Linked DNA regions of Drosophila melanogaster. The main gene of each other region encodes a partner of the protein of the gene in region 2 in a complex. Each region holds a gene or a part of one and is shown on either strand. Other genes may lie near its edges.

Region 1 (5,439 bases), on a different chromosome or scaffold from region 2:
GGGGAAAAGTCGGTGTACACGCAAGGCCCCAAACCGCCGAGCAGAGTGTTAGCGTTTCTCCCTTTGCGCCTGGCATTCGCATGCGTAAGCCGTTTTTTTTTTTTTTTATTATTTGTTTTTTCTTTTCATATTTAGCGATTAGGTCATGCAACAGCGGCCAGCTCAAAGCGAGAAAAACGATAACAAATGCCTAATCTTGCAGGGGTAAAGCGTATTTTCCGGCTTCGATTTTTCAGCTGCAGTTTTATGAATGGATGTTGGCTGCTGGCATTATATTCCGATCAGCACAAGCACACCCCACACAACTACCGGTTGTAGTTGTTTGCATTGGCCATCGAAACCAGTCGATTGGTAAGTAGGTGTCGGTCGCATACTAAGCGCTAAGTTGCCGAGCGGCATTACCTCAGCGCACCATTTTGGCCAAGAGAGTAGGTGTTTAGGCCCGCTTCGCCTCCGTTGGAATGTTAATGAGTGCTTTTTGTTTTTAGCTCAAATATGAGTTTATTTTATGTGTAACTTTGTACACGGGAAGCCCTCTTGCTGCGCTTACCTGTCGTATTTCCTGTGTTTCGACATCCATGCTGACGGATTTTCCTGCGACGGACTCCGGCTCTCCGACGCCCGCCACTTCACTTTCCGCACTTTTTGCACTTTTCGCACTCTATGTTTGACCACAACACACCGCTTTTCCTTTTTCACTTGTCTCTTTTCTGCGTGCGAGCGAGTGCGTGTGTGTGTGAGTGTGGCTTGGAGTTTTCCTCAGCTTAGGTGATTTTCACTTGGAGCCTAAACACAAGAAAATACAAAAACACGATTGGCACTTTGTCAAACCACTTGGAAATCGAGAAAAATAACTAATTGCGCACACGCATTGTCAGCGAATTTTTTTCGGCGGGCGGGGCAGGGAAAAAGCTTAAAAGGCAGGCGGGCAGCCGAAAGAAAATGTGAATCATTCACGGAGCGCGACGGTGGGTGGTGGGCGGGGGCGGGGCTGCAGTGCGACAATAACAGAGAACACTTTACAGTTGCCTGTTCGCTTTTCTCGAGATGCTGCTGCATCAGCTGTTGCGATTTGCTCGTCTGGACAAGCCATTTACGCACTTTTCAACCCATCGCAGTGTTCAACCGCCCGTCCATGGTATAATTAATGTTTTCCCAATCCGTTTTAAGCCAGCAAGTTTCCAATTTTCTTTGGGGAACCGCCGACTTAAGTAAATGAAAACATTTTCCTTCGCCTCGCACTGTTGTTGTCCGCCGCCCGCTGTTTGCCTCTCTGTCGCTCCCGCTGCACTGGCAGTGCTGGTGTGCGACACTGCTAGTGTGGTACTGCTCGCACCCACAGCGAACGAGTGGTGACCGAAAAAGCTGTGTATGTGCGCGCGGGTGTGTGTGCGAGAGTGAGTGTGGGGCCTACGCACATTTGGGATGTTTTTCGCACTGATTTGCTGCACCGACGACTTTCGCATGCATTTCACACGGTTCGCGCTCGTCCCCGCTGCATTTTTCAACAGCTTTAATACTACAAATTGGGCTTAAATTGAGAAAATCACGGACACCGATCTGCTCTAAAATCTTACAAATTTTCATGTGAGAGATGGAACCCCAGCCGATGATTACTCGATGCAATCGGTTTTGGCTTATCGGCAACAAATCGATTGATGCCTAATTCTAAAAAATCGGTTGAACATGCTTCAAAACTTCCATCGCTAGAGTTGCAAGCGGAAAAAATGTATGTATTATTAAAGAACGATTAAACTAGTTGTTATAGGTTATACTTTGCTTAATACATATTGACTAATATTAAATAATTGTATGTACATGAAATACAAAATGATAATATTTAGCCGTTTTAACACATTATCACCAGATAAGCACCTAAGATTCTGTTGTTAAGGATCCATAAGAGAAGGATCCAGATATTATTGTCATTGCTGTCAAGCAAACATATGCAGTATAAATACAAATAAATCTAAGAAACAGTAAATTAAAATATATGCATGTACATATGTATTTATAAATATTAATAAAAGTTACCCCGCCGCGTTATCAACGCAGTGAGTAGTTGGCAACACTAACCATTCACACAAAACAGTGTTTCGCCTTGACTGGCAAATGCGGCATCTCGCTCTTCCTTTTTCACTTTGTGCTTGTGTGTTTAATGACGGAAAATTGCAAATAGATCGCTGAATATGGCCAAGAAGAAAAGCGAGGAGCACTCCGGTACGGATGCGAACGACAGTGATTACCAGGAGGAGCCGAACTTTGACGATCCGCCCGGGTTCGTGGACAACATTAGTGATGAAGGTGAAAATCACCGACTGCCAGCGCATCACACGCGGCGATCTAACCTCAATCCGTGTGCGGTGTGCGAAAGTTTGCATTTGCATATCTAATTAAATATATTCGTGATGCACTTTCAGATCTGCTGGGCGACATGTTGGCCCAGCGCCCCTCGGAGGCCGATGGCGTCGAGAGTGTGGTGGTAGTGGACAATATCCCAAAGGTGGAGCCGGTGCGCCTGGAGAAGCTGAAGTTGGTCATCAACAAGCTGTTTTCGAACTACGGAGAAATCGTCAATGTGGTCTATCCCGTCGACGAGGAGGGCAAGACCAAGGGCTACGCCTTCATGGAGTACAAGCAGGCCAGACAGGCGGAGGAAGCCGTCAAGAAGCTCAACAATCATCGCCTAGACAAAAACCACACCTTTGCCGTCAATCTCTTCACCGATTTCCAAAAGTAAGTTCTCCTTGCATCCGCATCAAGCAATGAGATTAATAAAATTTAATCTTGGCAGGTACGAAAACATCCCCGAGAAGTGGGAGCCGCCAACCGTGCAGACCTTCAAAGTGCAGAGCGATCTATACAACTTCATCAATGACCCGGACACTTATGACCAGTACTGCGTGGCAGCGGAGACCGCTCCCAACTGCGTGCAGGTTGGTTTCTGGCAAAACGTATTGCCCGAACCCTTTGAGCTGGAGACTCGCGAACGCTTCACCGACACCTTCGTCAAGTGGTCGCCCCTGGGTACTTATGTAGTCACCTTCCACAAACCCGGTGTGGCCATCTGGGGTGGCAGTAGCTTCCAGAAGATTCAGAAGTTTCCCCATCCTGGTACCCAATTCGTTGAGTTTTCGCCCTGCGAGAATTACCTAGTGACTTACGGACCGACACCCACGGGCCAAAAGATCATCATCTGGGACATTCGCACTGGAGCCGAGAAACGTTCGTTTGTTGCCGATGGCATGTCGGTTCTTTCTATGTTCCGCTGGTCGCACGACGACAAGTTTGTGGCCCGCATGGGCGAGAATTCGATCCACATCTACGAGACACCCTCTTTCTATCTTCTGGACCTGAAGTCCATTAAGATTCCCGGCATTCGTGGCTTCTCTTGGTCCCCCACAGACAACGTGATTGCCTACTGGGTGGAGGAGCAGAACCAAATACCCGCCCGCGTTACCCTGATGGAGATCCCCAAGAAGCGTGAGATCCGTAACAAGAACCTTTTCCATGTGGCCGATTGCAAGTTACATTGGCAAAAGTCCGGCGACTATCTGTGCGTTAAGGTAGATCGTTACTCAAAGTTGAAGAAGGATAAGAAGGACCTGGACGTCAAGTTTCTGGGCATGTTCTACAACTTTGAGATCTTCCACATGCGCGAGAAGGAGATTCCCGTCGACTCTGTGGAGATTCGTGAGCTTATTTTGGCCTTTGCCTGGGAGCCCGTCGGCAACAAGTTCTCCATCATTCACGGCGAGACCAACTCGTCGAATGTGAGCTTCTACGAGGTGAACAAGGGCGTTAAGCCCAGCTTGGTGAAGCGTCTAGAAAAGAAGTCATGCACACATCTGTTCTGGTCGCCACGCGGTCAGTTTATCGTAATGGCCAACCTCACCATGGGTACCTTCGAGTTTGTGGACTCCACCAACGATTACATCATCACGGCATCGCCCGATCATTTCCGCGCTTCCGAGGTCGAGTGGGATCCCACTGGACGCTACGTTGTGACTGGTGTCTCGTCATGGAAGGTGAAAGAGGATACCGGCTTCAACATGTACACGTTCCAGGGCCGCATCATCAAGCGTACCATTCTTAAGAACTTTGTGCAGTTCTTGTGGCGCCCGCGTCCTCCCACCCTGCTTAGCGAGGAGAAGCAGAAGGAGATCAAGAAGAACTTGAAGAAGTACTACGCTGCCTTCGAACAAAAGGATCGCCTGCGCCTTACCCGTGCCTCCAAGGAGCTGCTCGAGAAGCGCTCGCAGCTGCGCGAGACCTTTATGGAGTACCGCAACAAGCGTATTGCCGAGTGGGCGGAGCAGAAGAGTCGTCGCATCATGCTGCGAGGGCGTAAGTATTCTCAAGAAACAAATTGTTTAAAATTTGCCGATTTCTATATGTATATTATCCTTACGCAACAGATGTGGACACAGACAACCTGGAAACTGACGAAGTGGATGAAGAAATTGTTGAATTTTTAGTCAAGGAAGAAGTCACTCTGCTGGAGTAGACGACCCCCTCAACGCCACTCCAACGCTGTCGTCCCCTGCCTACTTCGAAGCGATCCTGTCGCCTCACATTTCGTGTCCGGGACGCGTCTACGCCCTGGTTGATGCCAGGGCCCTAATCCATTATCCAATACAGTAGCACGCGTCTGCTTGCAAACAACTCTAAGCGGAACCTTTGCCTATACATACAACATACGAACATACGAATTATAAGCCCAAAAGTAAACTTCAACTCAATCAGCAATTGCGAACATAACATCTAATTAAATGACCTTTCTTGCGCACACCCCTCCTCCTTCCAGTATGCCTAATAGTAGATTTGCCATGTATTTGTATGTAAACAGCAAAAAGAAAACGAAAACAAAATACGTTTGGGGTATGTTTTTTTGATGTTTCATTCAAGGCGATAGACGATAGATAGCTGGTGGTGAGCAGGTGTGTAACAGTGGTCAAGTCAGTTGCCCATGGCAACCAGTTGAAAGGTCAAAGCAGGCGGAATATTGTTTGCCTGGCATTTTCCGTTTGTAATAACCTATGTAACATGGAAGCCGCTCTATCCAGGAAGACTGCAAAGAAGAAACGCAAGACCCATACCACCAGAGGGTATCGGAAAAGGGAGCAGGAGGTGCAAAAGTTGATAAGGGCAACGGAAGGCAGAATCTCTGGTCCAGAACACGACATGGAGGCACTTAGCCTGCAGTTCTTTCATGGATTTGAGGGTGAGATGCAGCAGGAGAACGATTTCGCTGTTGAAGATTGCCAGGAGAGTGACGAAGATTCGGGTGGGGAACTGGCTGAGGAACCAACGGATTCGCCCTCCCAGACATTTATACATATCGATCTGCACGATCCTCCTCTGGCCTGGGGTCAGCTATTCAAGCAGCGCCACTACTATGATGAGAGCTTACTTTACCGACCGAGTAATACCCTGCAC
Region 2 (4,554 bases):
TTACCCACAGCATTTTTTTTTCTAATGTTCTCTATGTGTTTGTTTTTAATGCAATTAAATTTTCCGAAAGTTAGTTTCGTTTGTTTTCAGAACGAACCAGTGGAAGGAAAACTCACACTGATGAAAGACATTCAGCTCGGGCTCCTCGCAGGATTGAAGCAGCAGCTCCAACAGTTCGGCATCGCCCAGAATGGCCGCCGTGCCCACGGCAGTGCGTCCGCAAGTGGGCGATACATACGAGGCCTGGGCACCTTGCATGATGCAGCCCAGAGCCTGCTCGAAATCTCCGCTCTGTACGGCGGTTAGCAGGCGTTCGTTGAGGTCGTAGGACAGCATTTTGCCATCGGGTTAGTAATTTAGTTAGTTAGGCTAACTGAAGCTGGTTAGCGAAAAGGCGAAGCGAAAAGAACAAACCAAATGATAAGCAGCTGCTTGTGGGGTGGTGTGAAAAGTGCGTCGATGTCGTCAGTGGCAGCAACACTCCCCCGGAAAGTCTCATCGAGAAGTGAAACCAAACATCCGGCGTGCGCAGAAGCAGTACCAATTTTTGGCTGCATAGCGGGTGGTGGTTTTCTTTTTTTGGGGCGGTTTGAATTGGCCATTCTATTGAGCAAATGGAGAGTACAATAAAGAAGAAATCAGCTGGCAGTTCGCTTCCAAGCCCACTCATCGCTTGTTTGGTTTATTTTCGACGTCTGTGTGTGCAGTTGCTATGTTTGTGGGTAGTGAATGTTGTTGCCTCAGCTTAAAAAACGCTTAACATTAGCTAATCTATTTGGTTTCCTTTGCTTCCTTGGCAATTTGCAGCGATTCCGTGATGAAGAGTTTGGCCAGCGATTGCGAACAGAATTGTGCGATATGCTGGGCGTGGGTATTGATCTGGCCAGAGGTTATGGTGGCCGTCAGGCGGTTGGGCGCAGTCATGGGGCGGAACTGTTTGATCACTTCCTCCTCTGGCACCGTGGGCTCTCCCTTCGATGTGCGAACGGCGTTCTCGGCGGCCAGCTTAGCCAGAGCACGGTGCTTCTCCTAAAAAATATAAATGCAAGGAAAGCGATTAGGAATTTTTACATATTTAATTATATTGCTACGTACCGTATCCTGCTTGAAGACCACCTGCTGGTACTTGTTATAGCGCACTGCCTCCTGGTACAACTCGTCGACGCGCTCGATCAGGCTACGCATTTGGTTCTCCAATACGGTGGCGGTGCCCAGGTCCAGGAAGTTGTGCCCCTTGTCCTCGGGCAGCAGCTCGTTCAGCTCGCTCATCATAATGTTGGTCAGCGGCGAGTTCTTGATCACAATGGGAATCTCGGCGAAGAGGTTCTCGTAGCCGACCTTCAGGGTGCGGAATGCCTCTGGAGTGAAGTCGCCATCCTTGTACATCTGAATGGCCTGCGGAGTAAGGCGGTAGGCCTTCAAGCACAGGAATCCGCGGGATGACTTCTGCGTATCGTAGACGACAACGACGGACTCTTCAATGCTGGTCTGGTAGTGGTACTGCGATTCCAACAGAGCCATTGACAGGCTGTTGCCCACGTCGGAGCTCTGGTACCAGCCCACATGGAGATGATCTACGTTGACGCGACGCAGGCGACGCATCACGGTCAGCTGGTACATCTCCTCGTCCATGGTCTCATCGCCGCTCTTGGGAAACGGGAAGCAGTTGGTGATCTCCAGGCACTTGTCTACCACCAGACCGAGCAGGGCGCCCTGGGCGAGGTCCATGTTGCTCGACTCCTCATGGCAGTGCTTCACCATCTTCATGACGGCCTGCAAGGTAAAGTGATCGTAGTAATTATGTTCCAAAATCAATTAGCGACAGACAACTATTTGCATTTGAACAGGGGCGTGGAAAGTAGATATATTTCGGACTTTCTTTTAATAGTTTCTCTGAAGAAAACATTTGACTGAAGTTTTTTGTGCTATGGTAATGAAGAGACCGGCCCCCTTTTCCTTATAGCTCTACGCCCATGTCCTCACGAACACCCATACAAACACACACAAAGCACGCAAATTTCTGAGACAGCGCGTGGCATTAACTTTTCCGGCTTTCGCGCCGGTTCCCACGGGCCAATCTCGGCCAGGTCTTTTGGCCAACAGCACTACTCACCAGTCCGTCGCATTGGACGTAGTTAATGGTATTATCCGAATCCTCGGTGCGAGCAGCATGACGATTTGCGCGATTTGCCATGTTGACGAATTGTAAGCGAAAAGACCCACGACGTGAACTCGGCTGCAGTGGTAAAAGGGCGTTTCGCAACACCACAATTTTTGTGTGGGTTGAAGTGTTGAAAAGCGTGCACTGCTTTAAAATCAGCTGTTCGGGCGAGCGATAAAAAAAGGCCCAAAATATATTTTGTTTATCAGTGGAAAAGCAACAGAAACAAACTCAAAATTGTACTTCCTAGAAAACCGAGAAACGGCCCACTTGTCACGAACGAGCGGAACGGTACTGATAACTGCGGTTGCCGCAACTTGTAGCTAGTCTTAGTTCTCTTCGCATTAGCAACGCAACGCTGGCAGTACGAAGACCGCAGAAATGTCAACTAATTGGCGTGAATTGTTCCCCACCAAGCTCACATTTGTGATCTTCCTGTTGTACATGTCCCTATTCATAGGACAGGGTATGCAGCTGCCTTATTAAGGCTTTTTACGCAAGCCAAAGCCGCACCCTAATTCCTGTCTATTTTGCAGGCATCTTTGTCACAGCATCTCAGGAATCGAATAACTCCTATGGCTACAATACCGTCACGGTTGTGCTGCTAACCGAGGTCTTTAAATTGATAGTCTCCACCTGTCTGTATTGCCGAGAGTGAGTAGGAGTGGAGGCGCTCCTTTGTCTCGCTATTAAACCGCGATTTCATTCACAGCAACAACCTACGCTCCCTGGTGCGCGATGTTCAGAAGGATCGGAATGTATTGGGCTTGTACATGGTGCCCGCCTTTCTCTACTGCCTGTACAACAATTTGGCCTTTGTCAACTTGGCCACATTCGATCCCACCACCTACTATCTGCTACTGCAGCTACGTGTCGTTGTCACGGGCATACTATTCCAAATTATCTTCAAGAAGTACCTGTCGCAAAGGCAATGGATCTCCCTCATACTGCTGACACTCGGCTGTATGATGAAGCAGGTCGATTTCGGCAGCTTCTACAGCGATGCGAATGATGACAGCGAGTCCGCAGCCATACAGCAGCAGCTGCAATCACATAATAAAACAACTTCTGCAGAGACGCACGCTCACGGCAAGAACATGTCCGGCTTCGATTTTAGCCTGAGTGCCGTCTTCATTCTGGCACAGACAATTTGCTCTTGTCTGGCGGGCGTTTACAATGAGTATCTGCTTAAAGATAAGGGAGCCGATGTGAATATCTTTGTACAGAATGTCTTCATGTACCTGGACTCGATTGTCTGCAATGCAGTCATCCTCTTGCTGCGCGGCGAGCTCCTTGATGCCTTTAGTCCGCAGAATCTGGGCAGTATTATGCGCTTTAGCGTGCTAATCATTATTGTTAACAATGCGGCTATTGGCATTGTCACGAGTTTCTTCCTCAAGTACATGAACTCCATTCTAAAGACCTTCGCGAGCGCTCTGGAGTTGCTCTTCACGGCAGTCCTATGCTACTTCCTCTTCTCCATACCCATTTACATGAACACCGCGCTGGCCATCGCGGTTGTATCCTACGCCATCTATCTCTACACCCAAAGCCCGGTGGTTAATTTGGGCAAGGTGCGTCCGCTGTCCAATTTAAGTGATGCCACGACCAAATCAACGGATAAACGAAAGCTGATCGACGAGGAAGCGGCAGAATCGGACCTCGATATGGTGTAATGCTGTAGCTTGTCCTAGACGTAATCTTAGACTGTAAATAGTTGTGGAAAAGTGCCTGCAAATGTTTTAAACGCCAGACGAATGTATTTGACCCCAGGCTTTGTGCAATGCAATAGCAACAGGCTTGTAAATACCAAAACTTTTGCTCCTCTAGTTTAAGATTCTTATTTTAATCAGAACATAAATGCAATCAAACGAATATTGTGCATGCTTCTTCAAGAAGCTTTTTATTTTATGGTTCATATACTATCACATATGTACATGGTATATTTGGATGCCTGCTTGTCTTAGCCTAAAATGGTGTGTCCACATCATGTCCATCTTCCTGTTTGGGCGGTATGCGACTACGAAGCGCTATCTGCACCGCCTGGTTTTCGATGCTGCGGAGATAGTAGTCACACTCCTTCAGATGCTTCTCCATGTCCTGGACTCGGTGTGTGGCGTTGTACTTGCAGGTCTGCAGCGGCGGTCCACAGTAGTTCTTCTCGCACTTAATTAAGTGCTTGGGCATCCGGAAGAGCAAGATGCGGTGCGATTTGTCGTAAGGGCAAATTCCGTACTCGAAATCGGACATTTTGAAAAAGTCAAGAGCCGTTTGTCAAAACAACAAATTCATAAAGCTTAAGGTACCGCTATGTTTTAAAGTTTTAGTTATCGGTTGTGTTATCGGAAGTAAGGAATTTTCGATTTATTTATTTTTCAAACCAGCTGTCAAGA
Region 3 (4,433 bases), on a different chromosome or scaffold from region 2:
CCAGCTAAAGAGAACCATTAAGAACGTGCGCCAAACTCAGCCGGACAACGAAATCAAATCAGTTTTCGTGGCGTCAGACTCCAATCACATGATTGGTGAACTAAACACGGCCCTTAGTCGCATGGGCATCAGTGTGCACAAGCTGCCGGAGGATGATCCTTACCTGGACTTGGCCATTCTCGGACAGTCGAACCACTTTATCGGCAACTGTATATCCTCTTACTCGGCATTCGAAAAAAGGGAACGAGATGTGCACGGTTTTCCATCGTACTTCTGGGGATTCCCCAAGGAAAAGGATCGTAAGCATACAAACGTGCACGAGGAGCTGTAATGGAGCAACAGGATTATCTACTTAAATACTCGAATAGGCTATTTTTCGGTTTTCTTTCCTAATACTAGACAGTTTTATTACATTGATTAAGCAATATTCTGGACTTCACTTCTTAAATGGTTAAGGTAAAAGTTTCAACTTACAAATTTAATGAATTTACTTTTGAATGTTACCAATATTTAGTGCTTTTAAAGAATATCAGTATATTTATGTTTTATTCTTTTAGCTTTAATTCTTAAAAAGGATTTTAATGAAACCCGTTAAATGCCTTCAAAAACACTACAACTTAATTGTAAGCTATTAAAGTATTCCTCGCATTTATGAAAACACTTGTTTGCTACCGATTTTACTTATAAATTTATTCAAGTTATCCAGCCCTCTCGCATTCTTGAAAATAATTTAGGTCGTCACTCCAGTGCCCCGAGGCCAGCATTTGTTCATCATCAGTGCAATTTTTTGGAAGTGGTGCGCCTAGTGTATCAGCTTCTGGGATCGAGCCAGATCCAGTTGCGCCGAGGAGACGCTCGTTAGACCCTCGCGCACTGTGCTGAGGTTCTCCTTCCATGCCTGCAGCAAATCGCGAAGCTGCTCCCATTGTGGTGCTCCAAAGGTTCGGTGCATTGTCGATGAGATGTGTACCTTTTGATTGGCCTGATCTAGTCGTGCGCGTACCAGCTTTGTTTTCAGCACCTCGATGACGAAGGGCTCCACCTCGTCTTCGTTGATCTGCAGCTCCTTGGTAAGCGTTTCGAATGTCATCTCCGGGCTGCTCTCGGCCAGCTGCATGAAGGTCAGCAGACGCATCTTCTTCATGTTCTGCTCATGGTTCAATCCTTGCGAGTTGACAAACTCCCTGTGATCCTCGTAGAACTGCACGTACGCTGGCAGCTTCTCGGACACGAAGATGGACAGCAGGTCGTGGATGAGGTCGCCTTCCAAAAAGCGCACAGGCTTCAGCGACAGCAGAGGATCCAGCAGGAATGTATTGGGGTCGGCCAAGGCAGTCACAATGCACTTCATGGCATCCTCACGGGCAACACAAGCATTGTCCGCCGTGTAGGTGCCCAGCAGCTCAATCATAACCTTGGAAGACAGCTCCAGGTTGGTGTCCTTGGTCACGTCGTGCAGCAGGCGGTACAGCTTCTGCATCTGTTCCGACGAAGGTGGGCAGTTGGCAAACTGGGATTTGAGCTGATCCACACCTGAGAAGACCTCCAGCACCTGTTCGCACTGCTTGGCCACCTGGACCAGGTGGTAGTACACATGGTAGCGTAAGGGAGAGGCGGTGTCCAGGTTGTTGAACAGACGCCACAACGACTGAAGGCACACCTTGCCCAATGGAAGATTGGGAGCCTTGGTCATCTTCTCGCAGTAGGCCAGGACAATGTTCTCACCGCGATCCAGGGGTATCTGAAATATTGAAGGTTATTTTTTGTTGCTAATATTGTATTCTGTATTACTCACCGTGATCATGATGGACACAATGCTGTTTAGAATTCCATCAATCTGCGAGGGCTCACCATCCTTAAAGCAAACGTCGCAGACGCCGATGATCTTGTGCAAATCATCCTCCACACCTTTATTGGACTTCTCCGATGAGATTTCGGCTCCCAGCTTCTTGAAATACTTGCGCAGCTCTTGCACCTTTTAATAAATTGCGAATAATATTAGTTTTGTTTTGCAGCAAGAGGAAGACATAACCTCAATTCGGGCAAGGCGCCGCCCGAATTCATGGCTAAAACAGGGCACTTTCACTCTACCTGCTCGTCCAGGGACAGGTCTATGAAAACCGGATGCGAAGTCATGGTTTTGTTAAATGTTATTCCACTTTTTTAAACAAATTCAGCTGAAAATAACACGCACACACGTCTTCGGCGCTTTGACAGCTCGAAAGGAAAGAGAGCGACCAGTGCTGCCGGCCTGGTCCGTTTCCCGCTAATAGCGATGCTCTCAAACAATTGACCGAATTAAATTAAGATGACGTTAACGTGGCCACTTAAAATATATAATATTCCTCTGAAATTCATTCAGTTCAATAAAATTAAAATAGTTATGGCTTTGCAAGTGTATTAATGCTGACATAAAAATCAATTTTATAAATGTTTTGACGGGACTCTAGCTAACAATAAATGTGGGCAAAAGTAGTGTTCCCGGATCTTCTGAAACATATAAGTCACTAAGTGACTTCTTAGCCGTACCGTTACTAACGTTCTAAAACCCGTTTCTCCTGAATTTTAAATTTACCATCCAGCAGTTATTTATTTTACATTTATCACTTTACAGTTAAGCAAAATGACACGATTTTTGTTAAATTGTTAATTTGGCGACAGTCTGGCAACTCCGCTGCTACTAAGTTATATTGCTCGCCAAATTTATATTATATTTGTATAACGGGCGAGAAGAGCAGGAGTAATGCCAGCTAATCGGGGCGGAGAATTATGAAATACACGACACACACGCAGCGTGCGGCTTCCTAGAGCCACAGAGATTCCGCAGCAGGCGGTACAACCGTTACTAGTCAACCACTATCCTCAGCAGAACTCGTGATTACATGGCTACATCGGATTTTGTTCTGGGCGGCCTGGCCTCCGTGGGGGCCACCTTCTTCACCAATCCCATCGAGGTGATCAAGACACGGATCCAGCTGCAGGGCGAGCTGGCGGCACGGGGTACCTATGTGGAGCCCTACAAGGGGATTGTCAATGCCTTCATTACGGTGGCCAAAAATGATGGCATTACGGGGCTCCAAAAGGGCCTCGCACCGGCCTTGTACTTCCAGTTCATCATCAATTCCTTCCGGTGGGGAATTATTTAGTAGCTATATTTTATAATTATTAATCATCTTGAATTTACATTCGCCAGGCTCAGCATTTATTCGGAGGCAATGGAGAGGCGGTGGATGCACAACCGGAAGGGTGAGGTGTCCTACGGAATGGGACTACTGTGGGGCGCCATCGGCGGCGTCGTGGGGTGCTACTTCTCCAGTCCATTTTTCCTGGTACGCCAATTGTGGGAATGCTGCGGGAGGTTACATAAACAAATACATAGTTTATCTAAATGAGCCGCGTGCTCATCAGCATTATGGACCTTCCACAGATAAGAGACTTTATTGGCAATTGTCCATCAGTATCTAAATACTACCATTTCAAGATATCCAGGGAGAAAGTATTATACTTCCAAATATTCCATATTTTTTGACTGTTTATGGTTGTTTGCATTGCTTATTACTTTATGACATAACGCATTTATTGTTAGCCTATTTATACCAAGACATTTTCAAGATCTAGAAACAGAAAAATATTCGCTAAATAACTTAATAAGTATTGTAAACATTAACATATTATCACAGTCAATTCTCTTATGTACAATGTCTATATTTCTATATTATTATTTATGGTCCTTTCTTTTGCATCCAGATCAAAACTCAGCTGCAATCACAAGCCGCCAAGCAAATCGCCGTTGGCTACCAACATGCCCATACTTCCATGACAGATGCCCTGCGTCAGATCTACTCCAGGAATGGAGTACGAGGACTGTGGAGAGGATCTGTGGCCGCATTGCCCAGGGCGGCTTTGGGATCAGGTGCCCAGATAGCCACCTTTGGTAAGACCAAAGCCCTGTTGGTCCAGTACGATCTGGTGACCCAGCCCACGTTGAACTCCTTCTCGGCTGGCTTGATAGCCGGATCCATTATGTCGGTGGCCATAACGCCGCCAGATGTAATCACCACGCGTCTGTACAATCAGGGCGTAGACGCCGAAGGACGCGGTCTTCTTTATCGCGGTTGGCTTGACTGCTTTGTGAAAATCCTACGATCAGAGGGCGTTTATGGTATGTACAAGGGGTTCTGGGCCAACTACTTGCGCATTGCCCCCCACTCAACCCTTGTGCTGCTATTCTTTGACGAGCTGGTCGCCGTACGCACAAAGTATAGTAATCAATGACCCCAAAGATCACTGGCTAGGTAGCATTAATTTAAGTACAAAATTGTTAAAATCGTTTTTACCACCCGGAAATATACACATTGCTTTTTATTATTAAGCCAAGCTTTGATAAACAAATTTGATATGCAAGTGCCGCCGCATACAATTTGTTTGTCTAA
Region 4 (4,831 bases), on a different chromosome or scaffold from region 2:
ATTTGGCAAAATGTGTCCCATATTTGGGCAGCAGATGAGAACTCTGTCCAATAATTCCTGCCCCTTGGGGCCATAGCCGCAATATCTGTCCTCGAATACCGCCTTCTCGGCTGGCGTCATGTTGTGGGGCTTCAGAAAGGGCAAGAGTGATGTGCAGCGGGCTAGACTAATGCATTTCTCATCCAGATTACAAGGCGGATATTCTGATACAGTAAAGAATTGGATATTAATAAATATTATATTATGTGAGTCATTTTAATTGGATGTTTAGATAATGATTGGACGAAACAAAGCTATTTATATTTTAAAATTCAAGGAAATACCCATATCCAAATGAATCATTTTCTTGAATGTTATAACGTATACAATGTGGAGTACTTGCAACATATATTACCAGACTCAGCCAGGTACATCAGCAATTGAGTATGCAGGACCAGGAAGGATATGTACACTCTTTGTAGGAAGACCATCTTTAACCGTCAGAGTTTAAACAATGTCTAAATCTTAACTAGATGCCCGACACGCACAATCAGCTTACTATATATGAGTCCGGGAAATGAGTCAGTCATTTACGTACAAGACCTCGGTGTTTCAGTCGAAAGTTTTTATCACAAGTACCCGGCATTAGACCTGGACCAATAAAAATTCATGTATTGTTTCGCCCTCTGTGATTTACTAGGAAATATCTGAATTTAAATCGAATACAAATGCTTAAGCTAGGGCCTATAACATGACCTTTTCCTTTAGAGGACATCAGTTGTGGTTATTCTTAGCGGGTTGTGGCAAAAGAGCCCAAGACTGGAAGGGATGCAGGAGTAGGGGGGCGTGGCGTCTAAATCTTGTTGTGCGCGTAGTTGTAGACCTGCTGGAAACCTTCGTCATCGCCCTCGCCATCGTCCGAGTCATCGGAGTCGAAAGTATTGTCTGGGATGTCGTACAGACGGATGATCGGCTTGTTGGGGTCCTTCATGATCAGGTATTTGCCATCCTTCTGCTTCATCACCAGATCGATGATGCATCTCAGGATTCCCCAGGCGTTGTCCATGCTCAGGTTGATCTGAGTGGCAAATTCATGCGGCTTGAACTGCTGCGTGCCGAGGATGACGTGACGCGAGTGATCTCTCGGATTGATACGCGACACATAGCCGAGCTTTAGCTGATCGGACCCGGCCAGGACGGCCTGCACAGTCCACTTGGCCAGCTTGCATGCGTTGTTCCTCAGCTCGTTGGCGAGCACAGCACCGCGCTGCGTGTCCAACTTTTGACGCCATTCCACGCCATTGGCCAACTTCGAGTCCCACTCGTTGAGTGCCTTGATAGTCATGAACTGCGGCTCGCCGCTTGGCGTCTGCAGGACACCATCGTGCTCGCAACGCGCTACCAGGACCTAAAAGTATAAGACAATAGTTTAACATAATATAGAAAAATATTCCAACTTTAAAGTTGGATTATGCAACACTTACAATATCGCTTCCCAGCTCCCACTTCTTGTAGCGGTAGCCCACGCTGGCGACTTGGATATCTTCGTCCTCGCTGATGAAAGGGTTGCTTTCCTCGAACTTGTATTTGGGTTCCTGGTCTCCAGTCTTAAGCACCTGCTGGCTAAAGTTGTGGTTAATGAAAGTCGCCTCGATGGCCAGGTTGCGAGGGGAGTTGCATGAGCTGTCGTCGTCGGTCGGTGGTTCCACGCTGCTCTCGTTCACGGTCAACAGATCGAACTCGGTGTGGTCACGCTTGTCCATGAACACCTTGTCGCCTAAAATAAGGTTACAATTATTATTTATTTCTCTTATTATTATTATATTTCGTATTTCATTTAACATACCAACTTTCTCGATGACAATATCCCAGGAATAGTTCGATCGCGTAGAGCACATGATGGTGGCCAGGATGGCGTCCGTGGCGAAGACATTGCCGACGGTCTTAGACAAACGCCGGATGACGGGATCGTCTGTGGTGGTCACCGTATGCACGATGCGATCGATCTTCTGCAGCGGCTTCTCGTTCTTCACATTGATGCGGTCGTAGGTCTTGTCGTAGTACTCCAACGTGCCGCAGGTGACAATATCGACGCCCTCCTTGATGTTGGGCAGCGACAGCTTGATGAGTCGCGGGAAGTCCATCTCCTCGATGGATGCCCAATCGGCGCGGACGGCCACCGAAGATTCGCGCATCTTTGGTGGTGGTCCGCGATGACCGAACTTCTTGCCCATGCCGCGACCATGGCGCGGATCGCGGGCCTTTACATTCTTGCCGCTGAGCGTCGTCATGCCGTGAGTATTAAGGCCACCGCGGGCATTCCTGCCACGACCGGAACGCGAATTCCTCATGTTGCGGAACCGGCCGCGCTGGTGCGGCGGCTTCTGGACGCGGGCCGTGTCCACCAGGTGGAAGGTTGTCTCGTCCTCCTCATGGTAGTACGAGTACTGAATGCCCGTGCCAAAGCTGGAGGCATACTTGTCTGCGAATGGAATACCAACCACCAATATGTTAGCAACAATATCATGCCACGACACACCTACCTAACCTCACTTTCGGCGATTAGTATTTTGTGGGTCGGTTTCGGGTGGGGAATAAACTCACTCTGGTACTTCTTGTCGTTGTTCGACGTATTCGTCCAGTCGCAGATCTTGCCCAGACGATCGTTCTTGCTGAACGGCTGGTACGGCACATCCTTGAACGTATCGGGCAGCTCGCAGGGACCCCAGCCCTTTTCATTGAACTGCACGGTCGGCTTCTCGAAGCTCGGGAACTGAGCCGCGGTGTTTATGGTCTCGCTCATCTCGCGCGTTTACCTGGTGCTCAGTCTGCAGTCGGCTATTCGGTCTATATACAGCGATTTTCCAGAAATCAACAAAGAAATGTGGAAAATTCGTATCGTCGCGTGTTGCGAAAATAGTTGAGTGGGACCGTTGTCGCGTTGAAATATACCACCGCCAAAGAAAAATACTAAAATCGTAGCGAATGTTCAAAGGTCTGGCAGCATGCTGTCATAGATGGCGCCACTGCTGGGCGGGAAAACTAAAAATTCGAACTATTCATTTTTCAGAACCTGATTTTACGATTTAATTACAAAGAAAATGCAAAAAATATTTTTTAATAAAAAAATGTATTGTTAAATGAACACAATATTTATTGACAATTATTTAGCTGCTTATTGAACTTTTCCTTATACTTGGCGCAAAAAATGGCATCAAAATGATCAGTTAAGTTTGCTGATAGATCCGCGTTATAAACCTTAAAATCACAAAGTTTTATTTTAGATTTCATGAATTTCTTTCGCATTTAAACTCACGTTATCCAGAGCTACGGCTGGCACTCCCTGAAATGAGACCTTGGCCGTTTCCTTGCCGTACTTCCTCAGAATGTCGTTCACCTGTCGCGTTTTCTTGCAATTTTTGACATCGCCCACGTCGATTTGATAGTGGTCAGCGCACTTTTCCAGCCTGTTCTTCTTACCCCTCATCATGCAGGCGATCAGCTTGAGGGATTGGGCAATGTCATGGTGCTCCAGTATGCAGGCGTGCCACGCGTTCAATTCGCACTCCATCACTCCGTGCTGGCACTCCACATTTCCGTCATCGTTCGTCTGGAGGGGATTAAGCGAAGTTTAAGTGCGGATTAACGCTGATTGACACTCTAAAACTTCAAATTGAGCTATACTATGTACTTGTACTATAACTACTAGTTTAAGCTACGAAAAATGAAACCTACCCTGGCATTTCCATAAGGAACCAGCGTAAGATCAGTGAATGGAAGTCGATCCTGACGGACCATCGAGGGATTGAGCTGCGTGGTCACGAACTCCATGCAGTAGGGACACAATGCTTCGTAGTACAGGGTGATCGCCAGTCGGTCAGCTTGCGGTCCGCGCAAACGCTGCAAAGTCACGATCAATGGGAGCGTCGCAATTCGGGATTCAGTCCGATCAACTGGGTCACTTACCCTTGGCGTGGCCACGCCCACCCATCCCAGCAGCAGACACACAAAGACAGCCGCCCTCATGGCAAATTCAGTTTAATCCCGAGCTGATCTTGAAATATTCGGCCGCTCAACGCCAGCGAACGCTCGACACTGAAATAATTCCGGGACTTGTAATGCGCAGCGTTGTCACTGCGTTTCGTCAAATTCGAAGCGGCCAGTGGCGTGGTTAGAAAATGCTCAAGGGGGGCTCAAAAATCATATAAGTTAAAAAAAAAATAATTATTTGTATTGCAATAGTAGGGTGACTTTTCGCTTGTTTTTTATAATTTTTCTGTAATATATCCGCTTTTGAAAAAATTAATATAAATATATAGATAAAGGGTGTGACTAGCCAACCAATTCGACGCCCCTGCTGTCAACCAGCATTTTCCCCTTTACATTTATGCGCTGACTACGGAAAACTTACTGAGCAGCGGGGTTTTAATCTTATTTTTAGACCACCAGACAGCTGTTTCTGATTAGAATCTGTATACAAAAACATGACTGATAAGCTGATATGTATATACTATACACATGTAAATTTTTATTGGCCCCAAGTGAGTCAGCGAGTAAGCAAACACTCCAGTTGGTTATAATTATTGTTTATTGGTCTTGGAACATTGAAACAGTTAAATTACTCAGTACATTACATAAAAGTTTACAAAATTGCGGAACAAGTGGGCAGTTTGATGTTGAACTTTTTCAGATACTGCCGACAGAAGTGTCTTTCGAAGTTGTTGCGAATGCTTCTCTGGTCGTAAGGATCAAAGTCCTGCGGATCAGAGGGTAATGTTAAGTTAAGTCTGGTATTTGATCATGTAAGCCTGGTTGGGTTGGTTACTCACATTCTCGAACACAATGGTGGGCA

Evidence for each region.
Region 1: eIF3h (region 2) and eIF3b share a complex: the UniProt entries of both Drosophila melanogaster proteins name them as parts of the eukaryotic translation initiation factor 3 (eIF-3) complex.
Region 3: eIF3h (region 2) and eIF3m share a complex: the UniProt entries of both Drosophila melanogaster proteins name them as parts of the eukaryotic translation initiation factor 3 (eIF-3) complex.
Region 4: eIF3h (region 2) and eIF3d1 share a complex: the UniProt entries of both Drosophila melanogaster proteins name them as parts of the eukaryotic translation initiation factor 3 (eIF-3) complex.

Annotation. Positions count from the first base shown.
Region 1 is NT_033778.4:17,534,276-17,539,714, forward strand, and holds eIF3b (eukaryotic translation initiation factor 3 subunit b), read left to right. Parts: upstream 1-1,937; 5' UTR 1,938-2,054; intron 2,055-2,057; exon of another isoform or gene 2,058-2,179; 5' UTR 2,180-2,189; coding exon 2,190-2,304; intron 2,305-2,420; coding exon 2,421-2,736; intron 2,737-2,794; coding exon 2,795-4,347; intron 4,348-4,418; coding exon 4,419-4,507; 3' UTR 4,508-4,788; downstream 4,789-5,439. Other genes in the region: patronin, read right to left, coding at 551-580; Cc2d2a (Coiled-coil and C2 domain containing 2A), read left to right, coding at 5,047-5,439. UniProt on the Drosophila melanogaster protein: RNA-binding component of the eukaryotic translation initiation factor 3 (eIF-3) complex, which is involved in protein synthesis of a specialized repertoire of mRNAs and, together with other initiation factors, stimulates binding of mRNA and methionyl-tRNAi to the 40S ribosome.
Region 2 is NT_033779.5:5,050,542-5,055,095, forward strand, and holds eIF3h (eukaryotic translation initiation factor 3 subunit h), read right to left. Parts: upstream 2,543-4,554; 5' UTR 2,195-2,542; coding exon 2,114-2,194; intron 1,774-2,113; coding exon 1,096-1,773; intron 1,030-1,095; coding exon 772-1,029; 3' UTR 652-771; downstream 1-651. Other genes in the region: CG9121 (uncharacterized protein), read right to left, coding at 117-336; senju, read left to right, coding at 2,543-2,627, 2,698-2,815, 2,874-3,837; CG14036 (uncharacterized protein), read right to left, coding at 4,130-4,411. UniProt on the Drosophila melanogaster protein: Component of the eukaryotic translation initiation factor 3 (eIF-3) complex, which is involved in protein synthesis of a specialized repertoire of mRNAs and, together with other initiation factors, stimulates binding of mRNA and methionyl-tRNAi to the 40S ribosome.
Region 3 is NT_033778.4:14,162,396-14,166,828, forward strand, and holds eIF3m (eukaryotic translation initiation factor 3 subunit m), read right to left. Parts: upstream 2,431-4,433; 5' UTR 2,137-2,430; coding exon 2,092-2,136; intron 1,976-2,091; coding exon 1,796-1,975; intron 1,742-1,795; coding exon 803-1,741; 3' UTR 671-802; downstream 1-670. Other genes in the region: O-fut1 (O-fucosyltransferase 1), read left to right, coding at 1-331; CG8323 (uncharacterized protein), read left to right, coding at 2,883-3,130, 3,194-3,329, 3,748-4,275. UniProt on the Drosophila melanogaster protein: Component of the eukaryotic translation initiation factor 3 (eIF-3) complex, which is involved in protein synthesis of a specialized repertoire of mRNAs and, together with other initiation factors, stimulates binding of mRNA and methionyl-tRNAi to the 40S ribosome.
Region 4 is NT_033777.3:23,678,142-23,682,972, reverse strand, and holds eIF3d1 (eukaryotic translation initiation factor 3 subunit d1), read right to left. Parts: upstream 2,935-4,831; 5' UTR 2,783-2,934; coding exon 2,584-2,782; intron 2,462-2,583; coding exon 1,826-2,461; intron 1,757-1,825; coding exon 1,464-1,756; intron 1,388-1,463; coding exon 833-1,387; 3' UTR 656-832; downstream 1-655. Other genes in the region: CG16710 (uncharacterized protein), read right to left, coding at 1-203, 395-470; GILT2 (Gamma-interferon-inducible lysosomal thiol reductase 2), read right to left, coding at 3,133-3,237, 3,296-3,589, 3,715-3,879, 3,946-4,005; GILT3 (Gamma-interferon-inducible lysosomal thiol reductase 3), read right to left, coding at 4,622-4,735, 4,809-4,831. UniProt on the Drosophila melanogaster protein: mRNA cap-binding component of the eukaryotic translation initiation factor 3 (eIF-3) complex, which is involved in protein synthesis of a specialized repertoire of mRNAs and, together with other initiation factors, stimulates binding of mRNA and methionyl-tRNAi to the 40S ribosome.